Linked DNA regions of Mus musculus. The protein of the gene in region 2 interacts with the protein of the main gene of each other region in a biochemical or structural test. Links are inferred from orthologs where the notes say so. Each region holds a gene or a part of one and is shown on either strand. Other genes may lie near its edges.

Region 1 (3,102 bases), on a different chromosome or scaffold from region 2:
ACAAATAATACAGCATCAGTGTGCACACATCTGAGAGGTTTACAGTTTGTAAACTGTAGAATCATTAGGCTCATGCCTGTGTGTGTGTGTGTGTGTGTGTGTGTATGTGTGTATGTGTGTGTGTGGTGTAGGTGTCTGTGGGTGTGTTTGGGTGTGGGTTTCTGTGTGTGTGTGTCTGTGTGTGGGTGTGTCTCTGTGTGTGTATGTCAGTGTGGGTATGGGTGTGTGTCGGTGTGGGTGTATCTGTGTGTGTCTGTCTCTGTGTATGTGTGGCTTCAGTAGATTCTGTCATACAGCCTTCCCAGGAGCTTACACTAGTTCACACCTTCACTGAGAATCTTACTTTGTCCTTGCTAACACTTGATATTACAGGCACTGTTGTCTTGTAACACTTTTTGTTTTCAAAATACTTAATGCTAAAAGTTTTTATTGTAATTACAGAGCATAATGATTTTAACTAAGGTGTGTGTGTGTGTATGTGTGTGTGTTTCCTACTTTATTTTTTGAGATAGGCTCTTCTGTTGAATCTGGAGCTTGCTTTACTATTTTTGCTAGATTGAGTGGCCCAAGATCCTCCTATCTCCTCCCCCCAGTGCTCCTTACCCGACAGTGCTCCTCCCTCCAGGGCTGGAATTACAGGTACAGGCATCACACCTGGCTTCTTATGTGTGTGCTGGATATCGAACCCAGTCCTCCTGCTTTCAGTAATAGGCCCTTTGCATCAAAGCCCCTCCCTAACCCTTTAAATGAGTTTAAAGGAGTATATGGGGCAGAGGACCTGAGTTTGTTGCCCAGGGGAGCCAGCACCCTCTACTTACTTACTGTGTGTATGTATGAAGTTTGCATTTATGTATGTATGTACTTACTGTGTGTATGTATGAAGTTTGCATGTATGTATGTACTTACTGTGTGCATGTATGAAGTCTTCTTACTTACTGTGTGTATGTATGAAGTTTGCATGTATGTATGGATGCGTGGAGGAGCATGTGTACCATGGCACAGGGGTGGACTTCAAAGGACACTTGCAGGAGTCCATTCTCTTTCCACCGTGTGGATTCTGGGGATGGAACCCAGATCTCAGAGCTCTGCAGCTGGCGCATTTATCTCCTGAGCCATCTTACTAGTAGCCCCTGAAATTTTTTTTTTTAAAAGATAATTTATAAACACAAAGGTCAGTGAATTCTCATAGTGACTTAACATATTTTTTAGAAATAAACATATCCTTTGTAAAAAATCAGTTTAAAAGATATTATTGAGGAAAAAGGGCCATCTGCCTATGTGGTCAGTGATAGTGCTCAGTACCTTAAACCATCTGCCTGTGTGGTCAGTGATAGTGCTCAGTACCTTAAACCATCTGCCTGTGTGGTCAGTGATAGTGCTCAGTACCTTAAACCATCTGCCTGTGTGGTCAGTGATAGTGCTCAGTACCTTAAACCATCTGCCTGTGTGGTCAGTGATAGTGCTCAGTACCTTAAAGATACTCATTTAGTACTCATTACTTCTTTATGACTAGTCTTTCCTTTTTTTGTTTTGTTTTGTTTATCCTTGCTTTCTCAGGAGGCCCATTTTTTTAATTTAAATTTTTTTCATATAATTTTGATGTTTTCCCCTCTCTCCAACTCCTCCCAGATCCTCCCTACCTCTGTATTCACTCACCCAACTTGGTGTGTTCTCTTTCTCTAAAACACACTTTAGAAAAAAGGAAGAGGCTGGGGAGATGGCTCAGAGGTTAAGAACACTGGCTGCTCTTCCAGTAAGTCTGGAGTTCAATTCCCAGCAACCACATGATGGCTCAAAAACATCTGTAATAGAAACCGATGCCCTCTTCTGGTGTGTCTGAAGAGAGCTACCGTGTACTTATATACATAAAATAAATAAATCATTCCTTTTTTTTTTTTAAAGGAAAATCAGAAACAAAAACCCAGTATGTTAAAACAAAACAAAACAAAACAAAACACCCAAACAAAAAGCCCACAAACAATACAAAACAAAAAACCATGGAGTTTTGCATTGGGTTCTGCCATGAGTGTAGTTAATATATCCAGTGACACTTCTAGAGTTTTATTTCATTTTTAAATTTTTTTGTTTTTTCGAGACAGGGTTTCTCTGTAAAGACCTGGTTGTCCTGGAACTCACTCTGTAGACCAGGCTGGCATCGAACTCAGAAATCCACCTGCCTCTGCCTCCCGAGTGCTGGGATTAAAGGCGTGTGCCACCACTGCCCAGCTAGAGTCTCATTCTTTAGTGTGTTGGCATTTATGTGATTTACTCTCTCTGTCTCAGTCTGCAGATTATAAAAGTAAGAGGAATTACTGCAAGCAGTTGAAGAGCAAATTATCGCACATCAAGAGGATGGTGGGAGATTATGACAGACGGAAACCTTAGAGAGATGCCAGTTGCGGGAGAAGGGAGAGGTGCATCTGCCTGCACGATGTCTCTGCAATTCTCTCCAGAGGCAAACTGACTTTGGACTCTAATCTGGGAAGTTAAAACTTTGTGATCATTACAAAGTTTCCGTGGCTTTAATTCCATCAGTTTCCTATCTCCAGTATTGAAGCATTTTATAAATGGCTTTTGATAATTGACTGGGCTGAACACTCCAATTAAGGATTTTACAGTTTCAACATTGATTCTTGTATTAAGAATTAAAATGTTGCTTGATATTTTAAATGTCAAGAAAGGTCCTGGTGTGAGCTGTGATGTGTGTTGAGCTTTGATGTGAAGGTTCACACGCCAGGCAGTGTGTTCCTCCAGGTAGACCGTCTAATCAATCTTTGCAGCAGCCCTCAGGTGACTGTTATTTAGAATCAGGTTGTTTTTGGTTTTCCAGACAGGGTTTCTCTGTGTAGCCCTGGCTGACCTAGAACTTACGCTGTAGACCAGGCTGGCCTTGAACTCACACAGCTTCTCTGAGTGCTGGTTCAGGAGTTAACGTCGTGGACCGGTATCATCACTTTTCCTGCGGTGACTTCTCCAAACTGAAACTGCTAAGGCAGTTTTGGCTAAGTCTGTTTTATGACTGCAAATGACAGCATTCCTGCCTTTGTATTTCAGGGGAAATACGATACATTATATCGGCCACGTTCCCCACCACTGTTTTTC
Region 2 (4,245 bases):
GTTGTTAGAGAGTCTCTGTATGATGGGTGCTATTGGCTCCTCTCACCAGCCTCACAAGTTGCTTCACCTTTCTGGGTCCTCTCCTCTGAAGGGGGGGGGGGGGCAAAAATAGTCCCTTCCTGTTTGTATGGGAAGTTTGATGAGCAACTGTATTAGGCAGAGGTCATCATGGAAACAGAAGCTGTAAGAGTCAAAGACACATTGTTAAGGACTTGGTTGAAGAGAATGTGCGGGTTGACAAGTCCCACATGGGACACACCTAGCAGAACGGAAGACTCAATTTTGGGTTTAGCCTGAAGGCCTAACTACTAGGAGAACTGGAGGTGTAGAGACAGTAAGAACTCAGGAGGAAGGCAGATGGAAGGCCTTGGGGTGGGAACAGTAATTCCCTGTGGCTTCACAGAATATTCTACTCAAGTTTTCAACTAATCGTTGAGGAACAATTTACTTTGTTCAGTCTTTCCGTTTGAATGGTAATCTCATTTCTCACACACCCGCCATGTCCTCTGAGAAAGGCCTAGTCTAATGTTTAATCGATTGTATAGGCTCCCCCATACACAGCCAGGTTGACACATAAAATCCGCCATCGCAGCACTTCAGGAAGTTAGTGCTTCTTCCTCCCAGTGGAGCGTGATTCCACCATTCCCATAATGCACTAGAATGGGGGAACCCTGAAGGGGTGCTCTTCAGTTGAGCACAGCCAACGTTACTTTTATTCTCCAGTGTACAGAGATATCCTGGCTTGTGGCAGGGGAGATTCGTTTTTCATAAGAAGCCACTTTGAATGTGAGAAGGAAACTCCCCAGAGCCTGGCCTTCACCAGGGGAGAGGTCTTCCGAGTGGTAGACACGCTGTACGATGGCAAGCTGGGCCACTGGCTGGCCGTGAGGATCGGGAATGAGCTGGAGAAAGGCTTGATCCCTAACAAAAGCAGGTAACTGAGCCGACTTCCTAAGCATTCCTTTTAATCCCCTGTTCACCAGAAAGCAACAGAGCTGCCTCTGAGGAAATCAATCCCACGGGACCTCATCATTGGCCACCATTAGGTGTTTATGGAAATAGAGCCAGCACCTCTTTAGTTTTGAGCACAGCAGGCTTGGTTGCCACCCTTGGCTTATTTGAGGAGAGCCTGCTGCCTTGGTTATGGGAAACACTGTGTGGCCCTAGTCCCTTGCCACTCCTGGTCTCCATCTTTAGGAGAGGCTTGTACACCCTAGGGAACACTTGCTGGTGTGGCTGTAGGACTTAAGAATGGTGATCTGTTTGTTACATACATTTATATCACACAGCACATGAGCCAAACATGGCACGCTCTGTACGGAGTTACTGCTTGTGGAGTTCAGAGACCCTGTCCCTTTGATAAGACACCTGAGGAGGGCCAATGGGGATGCTGGGCCTCAGCTCGCTTCCTCCCTTGTGGTCAGTGTGGACCTCAGCCCCTGGGAAGATGCCGTCTATTCAGGGTGGGTTTCCCTTTCTAGAAATCCTGTCAGGTTGACAGTGATGCTCACACACAATGTTTTCTGGCTCCACTGTCCCCTTTATTGTCCCCATTGTCAATCTGTGTCTGCACTGGTTTTTTTGTTTTTGTTTTTGTTTTTATTTATATATATGTACTCTTTTTTTTTCTTTTTAAGATTTATTTATTATTATATATAAGTACACTGTAGCTGTCTTCAGACACACCAGAAGAGGGCATCAGATCTCCTTATGGATGGTTGTGAGCTACCATGTGGTTGCTGGGATTTGAACTCAGGACCTTCAGAAGAGCAGTCAGTGCTCTTAACCACTGAGCCATCTCTCCAGCCCCTATATATGTACTCTTATCTGAATATATCCCTGTATGCCAGAAGAGGGCATCAGATCACAGTATGGATGGCTGTGAGTCACCATATGGTTGCTGGGAATTGACTCAGTACCTCTGGAAGAGCAGTCAGTGCTCTTAACCCCTGCGCCAACCCTCCAGCCCTGCCCTGGGTTCTCGCGTGACAGTGACTGCGTCTTAGTAATAACCTGTTCCCATGCTGTGGAGAATGACTTCTTCCGGCTTCCTCTCTCAGAGCCGAGCAAATGGCCAGTGTCCAGAATGCCCAGCGAGAGAACGCCGGGGACAGAGCAGACTTCTGGCGGATGCGTGGCCAGAGATCCAGCGGCGGCGTCAAGAAGAACCTCCGCAAGAGCCGGGAAGACCTGGCGGCTGCTGTATCGGTTAGCACCAAGTTCCCTGCCTACGAGAAGGTTCTGCTTCGGGAAGGTGAGGCAGCTGCATGGGCCCGGGAGTGAGCTGCTGAGCTCTGAGCCGCTCCCGCCAGTGTCTCTGTAATCACTCAGTTCCAACTTCACCTAAGTCACTTACACCAGAGGTGTCTGAGGGGATCATGTCCCACGGGGAACCTGAGTGGGGAGGGCAGCGAAGGCTTGTCTTTTGGGAAAGCAGTGGAGTCCAGGCGAGGTGGGAGAGGTCAGTTTCTAATGCCGAGATTGCAGAAGTGTACACAGGGCATTTGCCTCTCATCTGGACACTGTAGGTGCACATCTGATAACTTCCTGTTTTTCCTTTCAGCTGGCTTCAAGAGACCCGTGGTTCTGTTTGGCCCCATAGCAGATATAGCAATGGAAAGGTTGGCAACTGAGTTACCAGACCTGTTTCAAACTGCAAGTAAGAGTGTTCATAGAATTTTGCTCCCGGAGTGTTTAATTTGGCAGTTCTCTGGCACACAGAAGTTGGAAGAATAAGGAATATCCACACACCCTGCCTGGAGTCACTGTATCATGTTGTCAGATAGATATACTTTCTCTCCACCGCTTGCTCACAGACAGACACACAGCCCCAGCTTTTGAAACTGTTTGCTGAGCCAGTCCAGAGTTTAAATTGCAGAGCTCTGAGACTTCATTCGAGAGTATACCCGTGAGTCTCCTCATAATATAATATTCTTTTACATATTGAAAATACCACTGTCCCTTCAGTAACAAAGAGATTTCATATTAGTGTTATAGTTGAATGTTGCTAATCTGAAACATTCTAAAACTGGAACATTTTGAGCGTCAACATGATACAGCACAAAGGGAAAATTTCATGCTTGCTCCCATACAAGTGATAAGTGTCTAATGCAGGTGTACTAAAGATGCTCTGTAAAATTACCTCAGTCTGTGTATATGAGAGAAAGATGACAGAAATATTTTTGGGAGGTGTGGGGAGGGAGCAGGGTCCCTCAGATAAGCCCAGGCTGGCCCTGAAATTACTGTGTAGCCGAGGATGACTTTGCATTTCTGATCTTTCTGACATCATCTCACAAGTGCTGATGTAACAGGAATATACAACCATGATTAGCTAAACCATGAATGAATCTTATATTTAGGTATGGGTCTCCTTTTTTTGTAGATATTTTAAATTATAAATAATTAAAAACTGGTAGCGTTTCTGGTCCCGAACATTTTCTTTTCTTTTTTTAAGTTCAGGCTCATCCATTACAGTTAATATTTATGACTCTTTAGGGACTTTTATATTTCCAGAAGAGATCAACAAGGTACTCCCTGCTGTTAGGTCGACCTAACAATTTCTTCTGATTAGTTTCCACTTAATAGGGCTGAGGTTGTAGCTCAGTGGTATGGCATTTGCCTCATATGAGTAAAACCTTGGTGTTTGATGTGTAAAACACATGCACACAAGCACTTAAACACACATGTGAACACTCTTGTGTATACACACACACACACACACACAGAGGAATGCACACATGGTTTCATCTCTCCGAGTGCCATGAGCTGGTGCCCAGTGTTATTTGTCCCACTGTGCTGATGTTAGCCTGGGGCATGTGGTTGTCACCTGCTTTCTAGCAACATTACTTAGCCCTGTTTTTCATTTGCAGAAACAGAACCCAAAGATGCCGGATCTGAGAAATCCAGTGGAGTGGTTCGGTTGAATACCGTGAGGCAAATTATTGAGCAGGTGAGAAAACTCCTCAGAAGCTCATGTTGTCAACAGCTGGACCGTGGTTTGAAGTAGAGGGTGTATTTTAATAAGACACTAATGATCAAAGCTCCTGTAGATAGGAGCCTTTTCACTGTGAAAGCCAGGGGCCATTCTCTTACAGGGCTCCCATTACGAAACTAAATAACACCTATTAGTGGTCCTTCTTTTGGAAGGACCCAGTACCCCCATTAGGTGTCTGAAACCATGGGCATACCAACATGCCGTGTGTGTGTGTGTGTGTGTGTGTGTGTGTGTGTGTGCGCGCCTGTACA

Evidence for each region.
Region 1: the proteins of Tjp2 (region 2) and Ocln form a complex in vitro, tested with the Homo sapiens proteins (3 studies listed by BioGRID). The link is inferred for Mus musculus from reciprocal best matches to the Homo sapiens genes TJP2 and OCLN.

The regions. Positions count from the first base shown.
Region 1 is NC_000079.6:100,498,097-100,501,198, reverse strand, and holds part of Ocln (occludin), read left to right. Parts: intron 1-2,283; coding exon 2,284-2,385; 3' UTR 2,386-3,102. UniProt on the Homo sapiens protein: May play a role in the formation and regulation of the tight junction (TJ) paracellular permeability barrier.
Region 2 is NC_000085.6:24,109,435-24,113,679, reverse strand, and holds part of Tjp2 (tight junction protein ZO-2), read left to right. Parts: intron 1-723; coding exon 724-934; intron 935-2,060; coding exon 2,061-2,254; intron 2,255-2,563; coding exon 2,564-2,659; intron 2,660-3,869; coding exon 3,870-3,949; intron 3,950-4,245. UniProt on the Homo sapiens protein: Plays a role in tight junctions and adherens junctions. Acts as a positive regulator of RANKL-induced osteoclast differentiation, potentially via mediating downstream transcriptional activity.